Arabidopsis thaliana: one gene and its partner. The protein of the gene in region 2 purifies or fractionates together with the protein of the main gene of each other region. This does not show direct contact. Each region holds a gene or a part of one and is shown on either strand. Other genes may lie near its edges.

Region 1 (10,234 bases), on a different chromosome or scaffold from region 2:
CCTCATTGACCGACTTTGGGGATTAAGGTCTTTTTCTTTTGAATATTTAAATTTAATCTTTCTTTTTTTGTCGAAAGGTTTTTAAATTTATCTAAAATTCTTCTTTGAAAAAAACATTTTTCTTTTTTATAAAAAACAATTGTGAAAGAAACACCTATATACAAACTTATGCAACGTGGGTGGTGGTGCCATTATAGGGTGGATTTAAGAGAGGAATGAGATAAGATCGAATTGTTTAGAGCAAAAGTATTACCGAGACTTGCTCTTCAGTGAGCCATTATTCGAATCTTTGATGCAAATATATCCATCGAAGCTTTAGGTTGGCCTTAAACCGATGTTCCTCAATATCCAAGGAGTTACCAAACCAGGACTCATTTTCTTTTTCCTCTCATACCTCGATTGTTTGAAATTTATTATCAAAGAGGCTTATCATTGTTGGATTAGATCTGCATTTTTCCAGTCACGAAAAAATATATATATATATATATATATTTTTTAAAAAAAACTTAATATATTAGGCCAAATCTGCAGAGAGTACGGAGAAAATGAGAAGGTAGAAATTATAAACTGAGCAGAGATTTGAAAAATTAAGAGAGATAAAGATTTATTACTTTCTGACTATCAAAGTATTAACTCTATAAATAGAAAAGTAGGAAATAATTAAGAGAGTAAAAGATAAGATGGTCTCAGAACCATATAGTTTCCGGAATATTTGGCGATTTACAGAAAGACTTAAAATACCTAAGATGAAATTACAATTAACTACTAAAGACGATATACAGTAGAGATTAATTTATGGTAATTAAATGTTCATGCGGATTATAAATTATAAGAATCCAATAATGGTTTAAAAAAGGAAAAAGGATGATAAAATCAACTTTGGAGAAAAGTGGAGTTTATTAAGTGAGTGAGTGCCACAACGTAGACTTGCACCAAATTTTTTAAAAGGGAACAGCTTCCGTGCATCAACCTTCTCTCTCGCTCTGATATATACTGCCACGTGTCTCACGTTCTTTTCCACGTCGATAAATACACGTCATTTCCTATGGATGCTTTAATTTTCTTTTATTCGGTTACTGGCAGCAAAATTTATTTTATCTTTTTTCTTTTTCTTTTTTGGAAAATACTTTATTCTTTAACGTTTTAACACAAATTGATACGTATTTTTTTATGTGGTCCAATAATGCTGACCACAAATAGAAAAGTGAAGATCATTCATGGTCCAACAAAAATTATATTTTATTATAAATTTTATTTCATTTGACATCAGTCAATTTTCACCGTTATAATATTATAAAGTTATTTAGTGTGTTAGGAAAAAGTAACTATTTAAGTTGATTAAAATTTTGGTTTTATATTTGTTTTCTGTTTTTATATCCAACACAAATTAAGTTGAATGTCATGTTAAATATTCAATATTAAATTTTAGAATTTAAAGGGTTCCATTGTTGAGAACTTGAGAGCAACACGTGCTAACGTTTGCTAAGCACGTGAACTGCGAAAGCTATTGTTGAATACATTCGTGTGTAAAGTAAATATGATTATATGAACGTTAGAATGTTATATTGGGAAATTATTTATCACTTGTTTGTAGACAACATGATCACGTACTACCTGGAAAACAATAATGAAGTTATGATGTAGATGTTGACATTTTTTTGTTTTGTAAAAAAGGATATACTGTATTTTGGAGATGTTGAGTTTTTTCTTGTAACGAAAATATTCAAGACACTCTCTGCATGTAGTTTTATTTCAAGTAACTTGGTATATAATATAGACCTTTTAGTTTCTTTTAAATTCTTTGTCCAACAAAAAAAGTTTCTTTAAAATTCTTTGTACCCCCACGCTATGGTGGTTTAGTGAGATGGAAATCATTTTGGTCTACAAAGTAGAATGGGAACAGAGATAACACTGTACGTGTTTTGTCTGTCCTTATGAGAAATTATAACTATCAAATCTAGTATTTCCTGTCTTCCTGATAAAGATAATAATCATATAATATTTGGCTATTTGCGTGCCTGATCCTTTATCTACATGGTACGTAAACTAGCACTTAACGAACACATGTTGGTTTCATACGATCTAGTTAATTAAGGTGACTACATGCACTTACACAAAACTTGAATTTAAGTATTTTTATACTAGTGTCATAGAAATATCTGTATTAGTTTGGTGGTACAAAGTTAACATTAAATATGTTAATGCTTGGCTATTCACGAACATTTTAAGATTATATCGTATTATTCTTTTGGTGACTTTCTACATTACATTATAGTATTGACTGTTTGACTCCAAGTGAGTATTTAAATATGACCAAAATATCCATACGTTAGAAAGTTATACTTTTGTTTAATTTCTTTGTTTACCATATAATTTTGACTCTTATATTAGTAACAGTTATGTTTCTTCAGTTATTATATATATGAACAATGATATAAAGAATTCAGTTTTTTTTTTGTCAAACAAAGATCTTCATTCATTAAAATCTCAAAAGAGACAAGTTCATACACAATGAAAATAAGAAATTACAGGAAAATAAGGATAGAAGCTTCATGAGTTTTCTAATGATTGAAAAATCTGTTGAGGCCTTGGCAGATTCGACCATGAAGGCGGGCTTCGCGAAATCCTCGACCATCTTGTGGTCAAAAGAAGCTCTTGCAAACAATGCATCCGAGCTTTTGAAGAAGTGCTCCGTTGAGGAGGCTGACGGGTTAACGAGGTTGAGAAAAAGACGGTAACCACTTCTTGAAGACATGGTCATAATGCCGTACTTTTTCAACATGTCAAGAGATTGCAAATTATCCAAGCAATAGATTAACATGACATGAATGAGCGCGATAAATGGTGAGTGGATAAGTTGAGAGTTTTCAAGGCTTCGGTAACACCTACTCGGTAGAGACAGGGTCATAATGCCGATCCTCTTAACTCTAAAGGCCATTTGCCTATGGGTGGGTAAAGGAGTCTCGGATAGGGTCCAAAGAAAACTTAACATCTTATCTCGACAATGGTAACTACCATTCCCACCTAAACAAACCACTATTCTGATAGCAAGGCGTCCATTACCAGCCCAAACAGAGGTAGAGGGTGCTAAAAGGAGGGAACTCGATAGTAAATTAACGATACTTGGTGTGGGCAGCAACACTCTAGGACACTTCCAAAGAGAAAATAGCTCCAAACGATTCAAGACTAGACTCAAACACTGAAGAAAACGGACCAAACGAGATAGACTATCAACTAGGTTTTGTGAGAGAGAGCTACTAATCCAAGCTAAATCCATCATCACCATCACAGGAAAGCGTCCATTACTCTCCCTAAATGATAACAACATCAAAAAATTTGGGCTTTGTAAAACAGATTTGAAAACAGACCTGGGCCTTAGAGGATATGGGCTTAACCCAGCAGAAGGCTTCATGGGCTTTAATAGTTTAGGTAATGGGTTAGGGGGAGGACAGAAGGGGCTTGGGTTGGGCCCAATGCGAAAACCCTGAGGCAGCATTAGGTTTAGCCGCCAAGCGCATCTTCTCTTTGTCACCAACGACGACGGCGACGGCAAAACGGACTTAGGGTTTACAGCTGCCGAATTGAGGGCGTCAGAGACAAGATCTAACCAAACGAAGTTTGTTTGCGATGAGGCTCGGTCTGCAGAAGTTGGATCTTCCAAGGTAAAGCTCTTCAACAGCTCCGGCGTCAAAGCAAAGCTCCGATCCAGAGGGGAATAGGGAGATGCCGGTATTGACTTCAAGGGGAGCCGAGGAGAGGGATAAACCACGGAGGTCGCAAAGAAGATAAGGGGAGAACTAGCACAAGAAGTGAACGTGTTCAGAGGTATGGTGGTCAAGGTAATCTTTGGATACAAAGGGAGAAAAGACAAGCGAAACATGGGAACACGGGAGAATAGAGAACACCAGATGACATAGCCATTGAGAAGAGAGCGACAAGGGAACGATAGCTCCCGGCACCGGCGAGCAAACGGCTCTACCGGTGCCGGAATTTGTTTGGAAGCTTTGGCCTCGATGAGAGAGAATGAATGAAAAGAATTCAGTTTAAAAATGTCAAATTGGTGTTCTCAATTTTCAACATACCCAATAATACAACTAAACAATATTGAAGGCCCAATACCATATACACGATGGCCCATCTACTGCCTGATAGTATGTAGGGGGTATTAATGTCATTCCAACAAGTAGGGGTAGAATCGGTAATAAGGACACAAACTCGCCTCTTTCGCTTTGTCTCTCTCGTCTCTAAGCAGTAGCAGATCTGAGTTTTGGAGAGTTCAAAGGAAGAAGATAACTCCAATACCAGAGGTTCGTAACGATGTGAGATTTTTCTCTGTTGTTTATGAAGTCTTAGCTCAATTTGATCTTCCAATGAATTTCGTTAAAATTTGCTAGACTTCTATCAGCGCCTGTAGATCGATTTAGGTTATGTACTCTCATTCACATCGGTGGGAAGCGATCAATCTTAGAATCCACGTTTTATAATTTCTCGTTTTGATCTTGTTTTTTTCACAACTTGTAAACATTGCGATGTTGATTGTGTTGATTAATCGCTTAAAATTGAGGTCTGAGTTTAAATAATCCTTGTGCTTACCATATGGTCTTGGCTGTGATAATTTGTTAATTGTTCTGCTTAATAATCTAACACTTTGCTTCGGTTAATGTCTGGATCAACATGCTCATGGTTGTGTTCCCTGTTGATTTGTATTGTAACAGTGAAAGCATTCAGGAAACATGCCTCCTCAGAAGATTGAAACTGGTCATAGCGACACTATTCATGATGTGGTCATGGATTACTATGGAAAGCGAGTAGCAACTGCCTCGTCTGACTGCACGATCAAGATAACCGGAGTAAGCAACAGCGGTGGATCTCAGCATCTAGCTACCTTAACCGGTCATCGAGGTCCTGTCTGGCAAGTCGCTTGGGCGCACCCAAAGTTTGGTTCACTTCTCGCTTCATGTTCCTATGATGGGCAAATTATATTATGGAAAGAAGGTAACCAAAACCAATGGACACAAGCTCATGTCTTCACAGACCACAAAGTATCTGTCAACTCTATCGCTTGGGCTCCTCATGAACTTGGACTCTCCTTAGCTTGCGGAGCATCTGATGGAAACATATCAGTTTTCTCGGCTCGAGCTGATGGCGGTTGGGACACGACAAAGATAGACCAAGCACACCCTGTTGGTGTCACTTCAGTGTCGTGGGCACCGGCCACAGAACCAGGCGCACTCGTTAGCTCTGGTATGATCGATCCGGTCTACAAACTAGCATCCGGCGGGTGTGATAGCACGGTGAAAGTGTGGAAGTTCTCGAACGGGTCATGGAAAATGGATTGTTTCCCGGCTCTCAACAAGCACACGGATTGGGTCCGTGATGTGGCTTGGGCACCGAACTTGGGTCTCCCAAAGTCAACCATAGCCAGTGGTTCAGAAGATGGGAAAGTGATCATATGGACCATAGGGAAAGAAGGTGAGCAATGGGAAGGTACTGTTTTGAAAGATTTCAAAACACCAGTGTGGCGGGTCTCGTGGTCGTTGACCGGTAATTTGTTGGCTGTTTCCGATGGGAACAATAACGTTACAGTGTGGAAAGAGTCTGTTGATGGAGAGTGGGAACAAGTGACTGTTGTTGAGCCATAGATTGTTGTTTGTTTGTTTGGTTATCTTTTGTTTTGTGGTAATATCAAAATGTGGTGTGTTCTGTATACAATTTCTAGGGACCTGTTTCTCTCTATACGTTTCTCAGGAAAGTATATTCTTATGTATTTTAATCAGACAACAGAGATTGCAAAAGAAATGTATTTTTCATAAAACTTTTTAATTCCGATAATGAGTTTTTTTTACTGGTATGATGTTTTTCACATTTTTACCCTTTTATGAGATTCCGATTTTGGCGTAAATTCATTGTAGTTTATAACCAAAATTTAATTGATTTCAATATAAACTCATTTTTAACTAATTAATACTTTAAAAATTTAAGCCTGTTCAACCTTAGTTAATTGTGTTTTTAATCGATCAACTAATTTTCAACTCATTAACCAGCTCGTTTAGCCAGCCACTTGATAAATTTTAATGCTCAATTAGGCATAAAATTTTGATTTACGAAATTTTGCCGATGGCGCTCAAAAAATGCTAATCCGGCTCTGCATCGATTTATAATATTTACCCTTTCAATACTCCGTGTAGTTAAGAGGATCGAGGGTATTTGCGTCATTAACAGTGATAACAAGTGCTAAAGCGATGAATGAAGCGCCTATTTTCACAATTCGAAATCTCTCTCCCCCCGCTTTGGCCCCAAAAAGTTTTTTTTTTTTTTTTTTAATTGCTAAGACAAATATCCGAATCTCAGAAATTTCTCGTCCTCTTTCTCTGTTTTTTGTTTCTGGGGAAAATGTCTTCTGCGATTGTTGTTTCTCAAGATGCGGAATCGCTTGGTCTGCAAATTTATAGCCGCAAGGAGAAATCTCTTGGGGTTCTCGTCTCCAAGTAACACCTCTCTCTCTCTCTTTCACCAGATTTTGCTTTGTTGGATTTATGTGTAATTGATGTCTTATGTACGATTCAGTTTCCTGAGACTGTATAACCGAGACGATGTGGATCTCATTGGGCTCGATGATGCCGCTGGGCAATTAGGTTTATTCTTCTTCCTCCTGATTTTGTGAGATTGAAATTTTAAAATCGATGGATAGGTCAAATCTAAACGTATGCGTTCGATTCCTAGACTAAGAACAATTGGGCTAACGGAGAACTAAGTAATCCGATGACTGTTTTGGTTACGCTCTCATCGGATTTCTCAAATTTTGTTTCAGGAGTTGAAAGGCGGCGTATCTATGATGTGGTCAATATATTGGAGAGTATTGGGGTATGTATGCTCTTTTTTATTTTGCTGGGTTTAGCTTGAGCTGATTTAGAGTTTTGTGGTGTATATTCAGATTGTGGCAAGAAGAGGGAAGAATCAATACTCGTGGAAAGGTTTTGGAGAGATTCCTCGTTCTCTAGATGAACTCAAGGTTTACTTGATATGGATGTTCAACATCTGGCTTTTAATGATGCAAGGAGAATGGTTTTGAAACTTGTCTTTGGTTGTTTTTGTTTACAGGAAGAAGGGATGAGAGAGAGGTTAGGTTACTCAAGTTCAAACAATTCAGACAAGGTATATAAGTTCATCCTCTTAAGATTCTTTGTTGCTGAATTTTTTATTAGATTTTTTAAAGTGGTTTGGAATTTAACTTTGAAGATGTTACCTGTGATGTGATTCTATGGTCGTAAATGTATTAGGTTTCAAATGGTTGTGAAAGAGAAGAACCTTTAACTTTAACACCTGATGATCAGGAGAACTCATCATCCTCTAAAATGGGTAATCTTCTTTCTTCTAGTGTTTTGTTTTGTTGGAGTGTTATCAATATCCATCTGCTAATCACTATTGGGATTTCAGTCCACAACTTGATTCTGAATAAACATTCTTCTGCAAATAGTTCTGCATTAACAAAGTGCTACTTGATGAATAAAAGTTTCCAGGATAAGATTTTCTTTAGGAGCTAACTTGAAATCAAACTAATATCATTTTCAGACCAAAAGAAGGAAAAATCTCTCTGGCTTCTCGCACAGAATTTTGTGAAGATGTTTCTATGTTCTGATGTAAGTGAATATCTCTCTTTGGCTTCTTACACAATACTTTTCAAATCCCTCTTATAAACAACAACTCACACCCTGTCTGCTGCCTTCTCTTCAGGATGATCTCATCACACTTGATAGTGCTGCAAAAGCCTTGCTGAGCGACTCTCCAGATTCAGTCCATATGCGAAGTACATCTATATTTCCTGTTTTAGATCTTTTCTAATCTCTGTTCTCACAAGTATACAGTACCATTAACCAACCAAATTTCTGAAATTGATTAACAGCTAAAGTTAGAAGACTTTACGACATTGCAAATGTATTTGCCTCGATGAATTTAATCGAGAAGGTAAGAGCTTTGTTCCTAAGCCAATACATTAACACTGTAATACTTGCAAATTTCCAGTGTATCATCTTTTAGTTATTATTATTATTTTTTTTGCTTTCTCCAGACTCATATACCAGTGACTAGGAAACCAGCATATAGGTGGTTAGGGTCCAAAAGCATAGCTGAAAGAGGATTAAGCTTATTTAATTCCGGAGAACCGAAGCGGGTATTTGGAACAGAGATCACAAACTTGAGGGCAAAGAGAAACAAAACATATTGTTCATCAATCCGCAAGCAAATTGGATATAAGAAACATGACGAGGAAAACACAGAGCAGGAATCGAAACCAGCTGCAAGTAAATATGTGTTTGGCCCGTTCTCCCCAATAGGAGCATCTAAGACGAACAACGACAAAGTCGGAAAGGGAAGGTTACTAGAGATCGAGGCCCTTGCTTCTACCTACCAACCACAGTATTGCAATCAAGGTAACAACCACACTCTAATCGTTTCTTGATTCGATTGGCAAACATATCTGATTATAAAACATAAACTGAGTTTTGGTTTTGAAAAATGTTGTTAAAACAGAAATAACTGGTCTTCTTGGGCATTTCACGGAGGCATGGAAGAAATGGTATGCAGAGGTTGATCGGAATAAATAACATTACTGAGGTCACATGTTTTCTCTGGGTACATGAGAGCACATAACTCATCCAACATATAGCTTTAGTCTTTGTTTGCCTTAAACAATAGTAAGAAACAGAGTATTGTTATTGTTAATAAAAGTCACACCCAACAAATTCCGAGTGACTTTGTTCTATACTTGATTCGAATTCCTATCCTCTCCTTAACTTAATATAAATGTTTAATCCATCCATATTTGGTTTGGTATCATTACATTTCTTTTCAGTTGTAAAAAGAAAAGAAAATTTATGCTCATAAAACTTAAACCAAATCTATATCATCATGTTTTGACTTTTGTACCTTGTGCCACAACTATGCAAACGATCTTAGAAGAACTACAATATTAGTTTGTTTTTTTTTTTTTTTTTCACCGACAATATTAGTTTTTTTACCTACCTAGAAAACTTGAATCTTCCATTCATTTATCCTTGGATTAGTTGTTGATAATAATATACTGTTGTATTTAATTTCAGAATCACAAAAACTGAAAAGTGATAAAATTAATTAATTTTCTGTCAAATAGTATGTACTATAGAAAAGTGATTTATTTTCTTTCTTTTTTTAATGGGAAATGGAGCTGATATCCACTTTATGGATTTCTTCATACAGTATTCAATCATTTTCCAATATATATGGGTCAAACAAATATATGAACTTTCTACCAAAATAAAATAAAATAATAATATATGAACTTGCCAAGTTAATTTTTTTTAAGTCAAACTTTCATCACATATCACAAATTCACAATACAGTACAAACTCTTTTCTATTTATACGTCGAGACAAAGATACATACAATTCGAACCCACACAACCAATTCTTTTGAAAACTTCTCAAAAAAGAAAAGAACAAAAATGGAACTAAAACAAACCAAAGTGATGTTTTTCTTGGTAGCCCTAATCTTGGCATTGAATTTCCGACCATCGGAAGCAGCTCCGCCGGTCAGATATTGTTCAACATTATTCATAGAAAGAGCGCCAAGATGTTACGAAGCGTTGAGAAGAGCGGTGCACAGAGATGTTAGTTTGTTAACAGGAAAATGCTGCAGAGCAGTATTCGCAACACTTCCAGTTACTTGCTTCTTGAAACTTACTTCTGAACTTGAATTGCCAATGACTAACTTCAGAAATATTTGTGATGCTGTTAAGCCTCCAACTTCATGATTTTTCTGTATCTTTCAATTATAAAATAAATAATGAAATAATATTTTTGAATTTTTCTTACCTCATTCAAACTATACATATCTTTGTTCACTTCAATGTTTCATCGTCCTTGGACTTTATCTGAACTCTCATTTTCACCGTGTTCCTTTTGTTTTAATAGGCCTATCATTCCTCTCACTTATTGGGAATATATATTTTCAACTTTGATTTCATAAAAAGAAATATACCCATTTATAAAATATTCAAAAGATTACAATTAAATTGTTATTTTGCCATATTCAGCTGAAAATTCACGTTAACACTTGTTTAATTAACAGAAATATTAATCAACGAATTAATTCATATAAACCATCACAACATAGTTCAGATCTTGGTACCTTTTGTCACAAGTTAAATATGTAAAGGATCGTTTAAACGAAGATGTAAAAATACCTTACTCTTTTCTTT
Region 2 (13,236 bases):
TAGTTAGCTACACAGTTTGCAAACCCCTCAATTTTTAAAAATTGATTACGGCTTTTGTATTTTGTCAAATTGATTTATGGTTTTCCTTCAAAAGAAATATTAGGATAAGTACATTATATGTGTGTATATATCTATGTAATTTCAATTACTATTTGAGGCATGTACAAAAAAAAATTGCTATTTAAAATATATTCACCGATCCAAATTACAGCTGAAAAACTTGAACCCTAATCTCTCAATTTCCATAATCAAACACAATACGTTGATTCAAAAATATATAGATTTTAATTTTGTTTGGTCTCGAAAACAAAAAGTGAGTAAAGTTATTATTACCGTTTGATAAAGGAAGAATCTAGCTTAACTTTATATAGATATTTTGGTTCATTCGCGTTACAAAACATCAGTTGAAAAATGGATTCCGGCTTAGAAATTGTATTTTAGTTATAAGCTATAAAATATTAGTATATATTTGACTATTCAAAAAATTTGCAACAACTTTTTCTTAATATATCAACTCATATTTACTCTCTGTTACATGTAAGTTCTAAAGCAATCAATAGAATATGCCAATATGGTGATGAATAGTAAATTAATAATATATGTTTTGAAAATGTGATTCTGTTTTTTTTCTATATACATTTCACAACATTCATCAATTTTTATATTTTCACATTTTTTAAAGTGATACAGTTTTGAATTATAACTGAAAGTAGTCAATATGTATTTACGAAGGCTAAAATTTCTAGTGTCTTGAGATTTTTTAGTGTAAATATTTTGTTTTTGTTTGCTAACTTAGGTATCCCCACTAATCTATTCATCTCACTTAAACACTGTAGTATCACCATATTATTCCTGATGGTACAGTAATTTTACATGCAAGCCAAATGAACATTATGAGTTGGACCTTTCAACGTTATACAGTATCTTTTTTCCTTATCAAAGATTGATTCGAATTATCTCAATCATCAAATTATTATTTTCCTTTTTCTCGTTAGTTTGTGGATTTATTATCCATGATAAAAAAATAACATGTGGACAATGTTACGACAAGTGGTATGTGGAAATTGAACAACAAAGAGAAGAGAGAAATCGAACTGGCTTGGTATTTATTGTTGGTATGCCTATTGTTCAGTACTTCATAAATAGCTAGGTAGAAAGATTGGTGCGTAATGGATTTTGCATTTCCAACAAATACATATCCACACACATTTAAGTATAAATTGCCTTGACGTCTGCTGAAAAGTTTGGCAGTGGCAACGTCAAATATCTTTTCAGTATCATTATTGTCCCTTTAGAATAATAAAACTCCAAATATATAACTGTGGAAATTTTCTTTTTTTGTTTTTTCATCAAAGTACATGTGGATCAAAATGATTAGATTTTAAATCGCTATGCAGGGTTCTGGTTGTTTCAAGTTCACATTGTCTCTTAAACTTGTTTGATCAGCAAAGAACTGAATAGGTTCTGAACTAGGGGGATCCATGGGTTTTGGCAAAACATTTAAAAATTAGCAAAGGATAATATAATATTTGGGTATGTTATAAATCAAAAAGTCAAGATGGCCGAGTTGGTCTAAGGCGCCAGTTTCAGGTACTGGTCCGAAAGGGCGTGGGTTCAAATCCCACTCTTGACACTATTGATTTTCTGATTTTTTTTTTGACATCAATAGTTTGACACAAAACTGAAAAAAGGACTTGTAGATATAAGGCCTAGATGCCCTAGACGATCCACTGGGCTCTACAAACCGTTCTTTTCCAATATCAAATTTTGTGAACTAGCCCAAATTGTTTTTAATTTTTCTTTTCAAATTTAAAAATATGAGTTTACATATTAACTTAAAAAATATGAGTATATCATACGTCTAAATTTGATAACTAGCCCAATGTATTAATTTTAAACAATCATTCAATTTAATAAAAATGAAAAAATATATTTTAGTTGTCACCTTTATAATAAAGCTTTTGTGCTATTATCCAAATGGAAATAATGGATATTTTGGTCTTTGGGACAACACACAAATGACGTGTCGGATTGTGAATGGTAGTGATCACGGACCACCAAAGTCCAACATTACGAAACTACCCTTACTCGTTTACTATATATATACACCTAAGTTTTTGTCTACAACATTCGAAAACTCATTACAAAATTCTCTCTGTTTCCCTCCGCACTCTTGAGAAATCGCTTTCTTCGAGTCACTCTCACAATGGATTGCATAAAGAGTATTGGTAGATCCGCTTTCGTTGCCATCGCGCCGGAATCTCCGTTCATAGCAGCCGGAACAATGGCCGGAGCAGTAGATCTTTCGTTTAGTTCATCCGCCAATCTCGAGATCTTTGAACTCGATTTTCAGTCCAACGATCGTGAGCTAAAACTAGTAGGTCAATGCCAAAGTTCCGAGCGGTTTAATCGACTCGCTTGGGGAAGTTATGGCTCTGGATCCGATGGTCTCATAGCCGGTGGTCTAGTTGACGGGAACATCGGTTTATGGAATCCAATTAGGTGATTTTCCCTAAACCCTAATTGAAATCTATTAGCCTCTCTTCAATTTATACTGATTATGTAAAGTATTTTACTTTGTATTTATCAGTTCTGAGTCTGGTGAAATTGCGCACGTTAGAGATTTGTCAAAACACAAAGGACCTGTGAGTTTGTATCTTCTGTTTTGTTTTTTTTCCCGATATATATACATCGTTATTTGATGTGTACATGCATTGTTTTGTAATATAGGTTCGTGGTCTTGAATTTAATGTTAAGTCTCCAAATCAACTTGCTTCTGGGGCTGATGATGGTACAGTTTGTATTTGGGATTTAGCAAATCCTTCAAAGCCTTCTCATTATCTAAAGGTACTATACAGTTCAAGATCTCTGCAATTTTATCTTTTCTGGTGTATATATCTTTAAGATATATACAATGTCTCGTTGCAGGGTACTGGTTCTTATATGCAAAGTGAAATCTCTTCTTTATCATGGAATAAAGGGTTTCAACATGTTTTAGCATCTACCTCACACAACGGGACTACAGGTGAGCATTAGAGTTCTATGATCTGGTTCACATAGGTTAACTACAATTTTTCAACTTGTGCTAATCGTGTATATGATGAATATTGTTTTTACTTAGTGATATGGGATGTGAATAACGAGAAGATTATAACAGAGTAAGTTTTGAGATCCTGATTTATTTTTAGTTTGTTATATTAGAAATCCTCTGTGATCTCTTATCAAAACCTGATCTAGCCATTATCAATCAACAGCTTGAAAACTACCGTTAGGTGCTCAGTTTTGCAATGGGATCCTGATCATTTTAATCAGATTTTGGTTGCTTCAGATGAAGATAGTTCACCGAATGTGAAGGTAATCAGATCATATTAATTTTTATTTTTTCAAGTTCAATCAAATTTGGCTCTTTTCATTGGTCTCTAAAGATGTTTTCTGTCAGCTTTTGGACATAAGGTATCTACAATCACCTGTTCGCACATTTGTTGGTCACCAAAGAGGTATCTCCATCTCTTTTACTATATAGAATGTACCCTTGCATTGGTTGAAACAGAGTGGTGATACTTGTTATACAACAGGTGTGATTGCAATGGAGTGGTGTCCAAGTGACAGCTTGTATCTACTTACCTGTGGGAAAGACAACCGAACTATTTGTTGGAACACAAAGACAGGAAAGGTGAAGAGACAATAGATTTGATATAGCCTTGTTGTTAGCTTGCATATGCTTGTCAGTTAACTAGTACTTTATCTAAATTAATGGAATTTTTGGTCCAATTATGTCAGATTGTGGCTGAGTTACCTACTGGTCAAAACTGGAATTTTGATGTTCATTGGTATCCAAAGATGCCTGGAGTTATATCAGCATCTTCAGTTGATGGGAAAATTGGCATCTATAACCTTGAGGTAGCTCTTTGCAGTTTCGTTTTGGTGTTTGAAATTTGTGTTCTAGATCAAGATCAATAATATATGATTGTATACAAATAATGAACCAGTAAATTCAGCACAAGTTCATTTTTCCTCTTCATTGTTATTTTAGGAGTTAGGTTCCTGTTCTGTCATGGTACTGCTTAGTTCTGAAGAATACTTGTTTGTTTCCCACCCATAAATAAAATAAAATGAAAGTATGTATCTATGTAGGGTTGTAGCAGCTATGGTACCGAGGTGAACAATTTATATTCAGGTAATGTCCTTCAAGATCCCTCTTGTTGAACAATATGCTTGAATCATTGCTTTGTTGGGAGCATTAGAACCAACAGCACTTCTTATTCCATCTTCTCGATGCAGATCCTTTAACAGCACCAAAATGGTGGAAGCGCCCGGCTGGTGCATCTTTTGGATTTGGAGGAAAGCTTATTTCGTTTAACAAAAATCTTCCTGAGGCATCTGAGGTCTTGTTTTAGAGAGGACATTGTTTTATTCTGTTTTGCTGTTTTTATATTTCTTCAGTTCATTGACTCTTATGTGTGCGTGTCAGGTCTTTCTGCATAGCTTGGCCACAGAAAAAAGTTTGGTGAATCGAATTTCTAAATTTGAAGCTGCATTAGAAAATGGAGAGAAGACTTCCCTTAGGGGTTTATGCGAGAAGAAAACAGAAGAGGCCGAGTAAGTCTTGCAGTGACTGAAAATGATCAAATAATCATCCTTATATAAGTAACAGAAACTTACAATTTTCCTCTTTGTGTACATTGTTTCTGAAGATCTGAGGAAGAGAAGGAAACATGGGGACTGCTGAAAATTATGCTTGAAGAAGATGGGAACGCAAAGACGAAGTTGCGTAGCCATCTTGGCTTTAGTTTACCATCTGAGGAAAATGATCAAACTGCTAATGAGCCTCATGCTACATGTTCTTCTACAAACGTGGAAGAAACTCAGAAAGTGCCAGAACCAGAAGGAGAAGAAGAAGAGAGCTCTGATCCAACATTTGATGATGCCATCCAACGTTCATTGATTGTGGGAGATTACAAGGAAGCAGTGGCTCAGTGTTTTTCTGCAAATAAGATGGCTGATGCTTTAGTTATTGCTCATGTTGGTGGTACAGAATTGTGGGAGAGTACTCGTGATAAATATATAAGGATGAGCAATGCTCCTTACATGAAGGTATAGATATTATTAGACGTTTTTTCAACTTTACTTGATATGTTGATAAGTATAAGTGTCATCTTATATTACTATGTTAATCTGTTACAGGTTGTTTCTGCAATGATGAACAATGATCTAATGACCTACCTTCATACAAGACAACCTAAATCCTGGAAAGAAACTCTTGCTCTCATCTGCACTGTAAGTACTATTTTCTTGATGAAGTTAAAATACTTGCTCCTAGATGGTTTGATGTCACTAATAACTACACTAATGGAATGTTTTTTTCTTATTTATTGACAAACAGTTTGCAGAAGGAGATGAATGGATAAGCCTCTGCGATGCTCTTGCCTCAAATTTGATGGCTGCTGGTTTTACTTTGGCTGCAACTCTGTGTTACATTTGCGCAGGCAATGTCGACAAAACAGTAGACATTTGGTCAATGAGCCTTGAAAAACAAAGTGCTGGGAAATCTTATGCTGAGTGTGTTCAAGTGAGTATAGAATTCTATATCTTGCATAAATATTAAATAGTACTTCTCTGCTTAAACTTTTTTTTGCATTTCTTTTTCTGTGAAATAGGATCTTATGGAGAAAACTCTTGTCCTTGCTTTGACAACTTGCAACAAGAGAGTCAGTGCGTCTCTACGTAAACTCTTTGAAAGTTATGCTGAGATATTGGCTAGTCAAGGACTTATTGCAACAGCTATGAAGTTCTTAAAACTTCTGGAGTCTGGTGATTTCTCACCTGAACTTTCAATCTTGCGTGATCGGATTTCTCTGTATGCAGAACCTGGTATGTGTTCAGCTGTGTTGTGATTAATCTGCTATCGAAGAAAGCTATCATTCTGATATTAGCTAAATTTTTTGATAATATTGTTTCTTGCAGAAGCTGCTAACACTTCTGCTTCAACAAACACTCAGCCTAAAATTTCCAATCCATATCAAGAGGTATGTTGTTTGGCTTGGAACAAACTCTGTTATCTACTTGGTTTTTACTTAAACATTTATTCGTCTTATTTTCCTGCAGAAATCTTTTACTCCAGCTCCATTAAGCAATGCTCAGCCATCAAGAAGTATTACTTTTTTTCCTTTGAATCCTCCTCGAGAACTAAAGAACGCGGACCAATATCAGCAACCAACCATGGATTATCATTCATTTAATGTATATGATTCACTTCCATCTCCATTGTATTTAGTTTACATTGTCCACATTTTAGCTTTTGACTAACCAAAAAACCTCTGTCTCCAGCGATCCGCTGGCCCAGCTTACAATGCTCCACCCGGTCCTGGTTCATATCGATCCATCCATTCACAAGTTGGTCCATATATAAACTCCAAGATTCCCCAAACTGTTGCTCCTCCAGTCCGACCTATGACTCCAACACACCAGGTAGCGGTGCAACCAGAACCTGTAGCTCCACCACCAACTGTTCAGACTGCAGATACTTCCAATGTACCAGGTATTGACATTGTAAAACATTAAAGCAGAAAACGCACTTTTTGTCAGCATCATTACATGTGGTTTATTTGTTATATATAAGTTTTTTACTAAAATCAAATTGTTTTCTTCATGATGTTATGGAATGATCCAGCCCACCAGAAACCTATTGTGGCTTCATTGACAAGGCTATTTAAAGAGACATTTGAACCATTAAGAGGTTATTCAAGAGATACTCCTGCCAAGAAGCGTGAGGCAGAAGATAATTGCTCAAGAAAGCTAGGAGCTCTGTTTTCAAAACTAAATAATGGGGACATCTCGAAGAACGCTGCTGAAAAACTCACTCAGCTCTGTCAAGCTCTGGACAAACGTGATTTTGGTGCAGCGTTAAAAATACAGGTAAAAAGTGGTGTATTTGTGAATCTTTAGTAATCTTGCATTATCGTATTTATAAATGTTGAATAAAGAATAGAGTTTGGTTTGTTATTTGTTAATTTTGGTGAACAGGGGCTTATGACAAGCACCGAATGGGATGAGTGCAGTTCTTGGCTTCCAACACTTAAGAAAATGATCGTCACGGGAAGGCAAAATGTGCGGTGAAATGGTGAAATTTATCTGTTTGGGACTAGGTTATGTACTTGGTGAGAAATAAAGCAAATCAGTTCTAAATTTAACACTCTATTTTCATAATGTCTCTTCTTCTTTTTTTTCTCTTATCTTTTAAGTGTCTTTGGAACCTGGAGAAAAAAATAAGCATTTGCCTTGAAAACTTTAGAGCCAAGCAATGTAAAAGAAGCCTGGGTTCATGAGAATGGTGTTAAGGGTCGTGGATCGAATACAAATTTTGTTATGCCGAAGGTGGAAAATATGTGGTCCAACTCTGTGTTTAGTTATTGGCCTATTTTAGTTACTTTTACGTTAAAAGAAATTGTCTACGTACTGTCTAGAGGTTCACAAAATCAGAATATGTATGCTCCAAAAGAGTATCTTGACTTTTTTTAATTACATTAAGAAATACTACAGTGGTCTTTTCCAACAAATTCGAGTGGCCACTTTGATGAGAGCAAAAGTGGCCAATATGTTTTTGGTGGTATTATATTGCTTTATGATAATGGCTTAAAATCTTTGTTATATATGGAAGCGAATTGAAAAACATGAACCTAAACGATTTGATAACATGATTTGAAATGTGGGCCGCTGTGTTTTAAATTAAATTACATTAACATAAACATAACAAAAAAACTCCATCATGATCTTTTCTAGCAACCAAAAAGAATGATAACGACCAGACCGTCTATTAATTAGATATATAAGTAATGCTTTGACACTTGACTTCTGGCTTTATTTGTTTAATATGTACATGAACTCGACTTAATCGAATAAAGTCATCAAGTTTAATAATATTTTCTTCATAACACTAAATTTACTTTGATTTAAATTTCATATGGACATCAAACTTTATATTTTTAATATGTGTTGAACATTTTATCGGAATCTTTTGTATGTAAAGTGGTGGGTCGAATATTCAACAGAAAGAGACAAAGGGAAGAAACATATGATTATTGGTACTTGTATGCATTACTTATATTTTTTTTTTTACGTAATAAAAGCTAAGATCCAAATTTTATTTTACAATAAAATAATCATTTTAACTACTTATTTTCAACAAAACTCACCTATCTAGCTATAAGTCAATATAAGAATAAGAACAAAGATTTAACTTGCTTATTAATTTGTGTTTTGAATTCCATTTATAAGTCTGTATATCCCCATTTTCTGTTGCTGTCATTGACCATATGCTTCGTATACTCTACATGTGCGATATAGATATACATCGAAATATATTAATACATCAAAACAAGCATTGGAATTTGAAAGAGATCGCAAGTGCTCATAAGGATTCATCTCTTTCAGCGCAAGCTAAGTGCTCTTAAAGATTCATCTCTTTCAAATAAGAAATATAGTTTATTATGTATCCTGCTTAAAACATTAGCATACACATATATATAGACGTACAAATGTGATTAGCTCAATGAAGAAAGATTAGTTTCGATTGGATACTTTTGTGTTATACGGAATGTTAATGGTTTATGTACGTCTTTAGAACTCGTCACCAAAATTATCTACGGCTCATTCTATTCTAAATCGACAACTTCTTAAACGCTTTAAGACTTCTGGGTTTTTAAAATAATCAAAAGCAAGATCCGCCAAAAAAAGGAAAAACAAAAAAATTGTTCCACATATTGTAATCTTAAATATAGGTACACATAGATTTGAAGTATGTATCACATCAAGATTGAAAAATCATTCATCATATAGATCGGCGTTAATGTAAGTAGTTGAATATACAACATTAACCATATACATATACATATAAAATACATCTCGATCTAATATAAATCAATAGATCAAATCCAAAGCAGGTTCCTTTTTTCTTTGTTTTCAGTTACCTTTCTTGGCTTTTCTTCTTTTTTCCATCTTCGTTCATCAGTTGTTTGCATTCGGAGGAGAATACTCACAAACAACCTCCGTGTCAACTTCCCTCCGGTGAAAATTCCGGTGACAGCCACAGGCAGCACACGTCAAAGCATCATCTCCGCCGCTTGCCATAAACTCCCGGCAACCGTCAACAGCGTAGCCGCCAATATTAGCGGCATGATTCTTCTGACACTCAACGTAACGGACGTTGCTTGAAGAAGAAGTCATAGTGTAAGAGCTTTTTCTCTGTTTTATCACCACTTGCCTCTTCTTCATCTTCTTCGTAAACTGATCTCCCGAAAAACCCTAAAAGAAAATTCCGATTACCTTGTTTTGTGGGGAAATGATCAAACACTCTTTTTGGATACTAAGTAAAATGGTACTTGCCAATGAAATGCCCCTTTGTAGCCCTTAATATATAAATAGGGTTGTTGAGTGTTGACTATATATCTCTACACTATAGACGGATTTGCTGAAGCATTTGTTAAATTATTATATGACTAAGTATTTGAAAAAGTCGCATCAGAAAAAGAAGTCATTGTGAAATGAAATATATCTATATTTGGTAAGACAAAGACTTCGACATGTAATTAGGTTTATAAGGGTAAAAATATGTTACGTAACATGGAAGAAGTGCAACAAATGATGTAGAATATAAGATTACTAGCTAGCTAGTGATCTTGACATCTAGTATATTTAAACCATTTTCTTTGATAGTTAGAATCGAGTATAATATTTTTGAAAATGTTGAAGATATTTTTAACCGACTTTTAAATAATAGATATACTATTTATCTGTATATATTATATGAACAACAACAAAATTCTTAAATTTGATACGAGGGAACCTACTTTTTAATTTAATACTAGAATTCAAATTTACGTTCATTTTATTTCCAACGGTGTCTTCCAAAATTGCAAACATAAAACTCAGCAATGAGCCTTATTTGTACCGTTGTTTTCACGTGCAATTGCTTCGCATAAATCTTTTAATTCATTGGAAAAATAATTTAGTAATAAAACCAATTAAATGCTAGCCACTAGTGGCTCATGAAATAAATAAATAATTGAATAAACAAAATAAATGCGTATCCGAGTCACTCCAAGGGACATGCTCCCACAAGCAATAGACACTGACAGATTGTTGGAGTATAATCGCATTATCAATCACATTTTTTATTATCATTATGGACTTCCATTTAAGTCTTATATACAACTATAAATAAATATATATCATTGTATATATCATTATATATATAGATAATGTTGTTTTCTTGGCAACTATATATAAAAGTATAGAATTATAAATTCCATTTCAGTAAAATTATATATATTAATGCACAAAAGATAATGAGGTTTCAATTCGGATTTTTATTTAGAAATTCAGTAATACTTTGACTACTTACTTATAACGCGAAGCAACAAATGTGGATCCCAGTTGTACACAAAAGACAACGTCAAATGCCCCATGCGATTTGATTATAAATTAGTTTTGCCCTAAAGATGATCAAAATTATTTTCTGTATATAAATTATTAACGTGTAGACTACTACATCAAGTCATCGACAGTGCTTAATAATCTAGACTGATTTTTGAATTATGGAGATTCGAATGTTCGGTACAATTTTATGAAATATATCAGCATAATTAACAAATCAAATATATTTTTTTGACAGCCAAAAAAAAAAAAAAAAAAAAAAAAAAAAAATCTTCGATTAGAGAAAGAAAAACAAAATAAACAAATATCAAAACCATATATGAACATCTTGACACACAAAACTATACCAACAAATTATTGACAAGTTTTGATCTCGACTTTTACTACTCACTGTAATAGTACGTAAGTTTATTTTGGCTATAACTACAATGGTATTAACTTTATATATCCTATCAATTCAGAAAAAATGGTACTTGTAAACTGAAACATAAAATTTACAAAACAATTTCTTTGATCATTAGGAAAATAAAAAGCCGAAAATCACGGGCGAATGTCAAGAAGTCTGTTTTGTCGAATAGAAAATGAAGACACGGCATGAGTTCTTCTGTTCAATTTCTCTTGGCGAGTTCAAATTTTTTGCCACCTCCAATAAGCCAATAAGGAGGTAATTAAGTTAATAATGATACCTTTCAGAACCATATTGTGCTAATTAACAATCACATTATATAGCAGATATTCGTCCAAACATCTACTGCAGAATACTATAAACTATAAAGTAGTTAAGACCGCATTTAAAACAATTTGGAATATAGAGAGAGTCAGCGAGAGATGGGATGTTCTTAAATATTTGTGTAAAAGACTCTTTGTTTCTCACCAACCGTGCCCTACTCGTGAAGTTGCCAACCTAAAATCTATACAACCCCAAATCATTTGAATAGTTTATATATATATTTCATACACTGATCAATCATCATACTGGATTTACATGTATATACAATATTGTAAAACTAGGGATTCGAGACCGAGTCACACTGATGAAAATTTTACTTCAAGAGTATAAAATATAATCGTGAATAAGGTTTGTGATATATTTAAACAAAAAGTCTGTAAAAACTGCGTCTGACACTGGCAGAGATACAAAAACAAATTAAGGAACCAACAAGAGAAAGGGCCCAAAATGATTGTCAAACTATGACTTGCATAAATTATTATAGTTGGAAGGTTTGAATCTACTCCACTTTTTTCCAACTACTTTAATTTATTTATTTGTTTATGTATGTTTCCTTCCCTCCAAATATCATATTTAATCCATTTTCATTATAGTTTGATGAATGAAATCGAAAACATGATGATTCGAGAAAATCCAGCATGCCATATTGGCAAATATTATTAAACTTGTTCATAGAGTTTTTTTTTCTTCTTCTTATCAATTATCATTACTACCAAAATAATTGACAATATAATCGTCATTATCGTTTAACATCAATGTTGTTTTTAGAGTAGAAAATCTCTCCGAGAAACCAGAAACGTACAGATTTCTCAGGATTTTAAACATGCATGAAAAAAATCAATCAACTACGTACACCTACGATTGCGAATTATTTAATGGGCTTATTTCAAAGATAAAGCCCAGTATATTTGACGACCTTTTGTTGCTGGCTTTCTGAGTTGTCTGGATTTGGGCTCAATAACCAAAACTCTAGAAGAATTTATGTATTATCGAAAAAGATTTCAGAAGATCCATATTTTTTGTTCCGGCAATCTCAGAAGATTCTGTTATGCATGATGTTTATACTGGTAATAATCTGGTTAATCAGAACCAATTAAATACGAAACAGCGAGAAATCACACAGAGAACAAATGAAGTCTTGCATACTCATATAATATAATAATGCATCAACCAAATAGGTAATGCAAGACATGTTTTAAAGAACAATGATATAGAAACTTAAGCCGATGAAGGATTAAGAGACAAATATTAACCTTCTTTATAAAACAGAGTACTGAAAGAAAATAGAGTTACTGACATTACAGAAACAGAGTATAGCCTTAGCTTTACTTTCAGAAACAAAACATTGTTTCATTTTATATTATAGTAAAAATGTCAGCATTTGTTGTATTTGTTGTGAATAGGATCAGATCCTCTTCCAATCATTCTTTTCACAGATTGATTAGGATCAGACATAACGAAAGGAGAAGGCGCCAAGTTTCCTTTTGATGATGAAGAGGACTCAGGCTCAGACTCTTCAAGAACACGCAAAGGATGAACAAACATAAGCTGCATCCTCATGTCTCTGTCCCATCTAAGACCCGAAACGTAATCAGTTTGAAGTACCGAAAACGCGATGAGAAGAAGAAGAATCATTCCTATATGACCAATTGAAACACCCATGTTAACTAATATGTAGATACTACAGCGTTTTGTTTCTGAAAGTACAACTTGAGAGATTATATATAAATGGAAAAAGGTTAAAGAACAAGAGAGAATTTTGTATCTCCCTCTCTATCTCTTTGTTTTTGGAATGGAGAGAAGATTGGTAAGAAAGAAGCATATATAAAGGCTGGTTTTAGAAGAACTCTCTTCTGACAAGTTTGAACCAAAAAAGGGTTTACACTTGGAACTCTCTTCTAGGGAAGCTAAGCATATCTCCCTCTCCCTTTTTTTTTTCCTTTCATTTCCATACTTTCTTTTCTTCTAACATACAGATATATAAGTGTAGTTTTTCTGTTTAGATAAGGTGAATGGTGATACTGACACATACATATAAATATATAGTTTCAAAGGTGCATTCTTGTGTTGCTTTT

What was found.
Region 1: the proteins of AT1G18830 (region 2) and AT3G01340 fractionate together in Arabidopsis thaliana (co-fractionation; one large-scale study listed by BioGRID). This does not show direct contact.

Annotation. Positions count from the first base shown.
Region 1 is NC_003074.8:122,965-133,198, reverse strand, and holds AT3G01340 (Transducin/WD40 repeat-like superfamily protein), read left to right. Parts: upstream 1-4,204; 5' UTR 4,205-4,307; exon of another isoform or gene 4,308-4,319; intron 4,320-4,715; 5' UTR 4,716-4,733; coding exon 4,734-5,642; 3' UTR 5,643-5,844; downstream 5,845-10,234. Other genes in the region: AT3G01345 (uncharacterized protein), read right to left, coding at 2,480-3,880; DEL3 (DP-E2F-like protein 3), read left to right, coding at 6,394-6,488, 6,568-6,635, 6,812-6,864, 6,935-7,012, 7,102-7,155, 7,281-7,359, 7,573-7,640, 7,735-7,807 and 3 more; AT3G01325 (uncharacterized protein), read left to right, coding at 9,479-9,787. UniProt on the Arabidopsis thaliana protein: Required for protein transport from the endoplasmic reticulum to the Golgi apparatus.
Region 2 is NC_003070.9:6,487,103-6,500,338, forward strand, and holds AT1G18830 (Transducin/WD40 repeat-like superfamily protein), read left to right. Parts: upstream 1-2,206; coding exon 2,207-2,502; intron 2,503-2,590; coding exon 2,591-2,645; intron 2,646-2,730; coding exon 2,731-2,847; intron 2,848-2,928; coding exon 2,929-3,025; intron 3,026-3,121; coding exon 3,122-3,158; intron 3,159-3,254; coding exon 3,255-3,354; intron 3,355-3,439; coding exon 3,440-3,497; intron 3,498-3,575; coding exon 3,576-3,673; intron 3,674-3,780; coding exon 3,781-3,900; intron 3,901-4,134; coding exon 4,135-4,158; coding exon of another isoform or gene 4,159-4,177; intron 4,178-4,244; coding exon 4,245-4,385; intron 4,386-4,471; coding exon 4,472-4,599; intron 4,600-4,694; coding exon 4,695-5,094; intron 5,095-5,184; coding exon 5,185-5,277; intron 5,278-5,383; coding exon 5,384-5,569; intron 5,570-5,657; coding exon 5,658-5,871; intron 5,872-5,964; coding exon 5,965-6,026; intron 6,027-6,105; coding exon 6,106-6,240; intron 6,241-6,327; coding exon 6,328-6,538; intron 6,539-6,670; and 5 more. Other genes in the region: MIF3 (mini zinc finger), read right to left, coding at 9,004-9,270.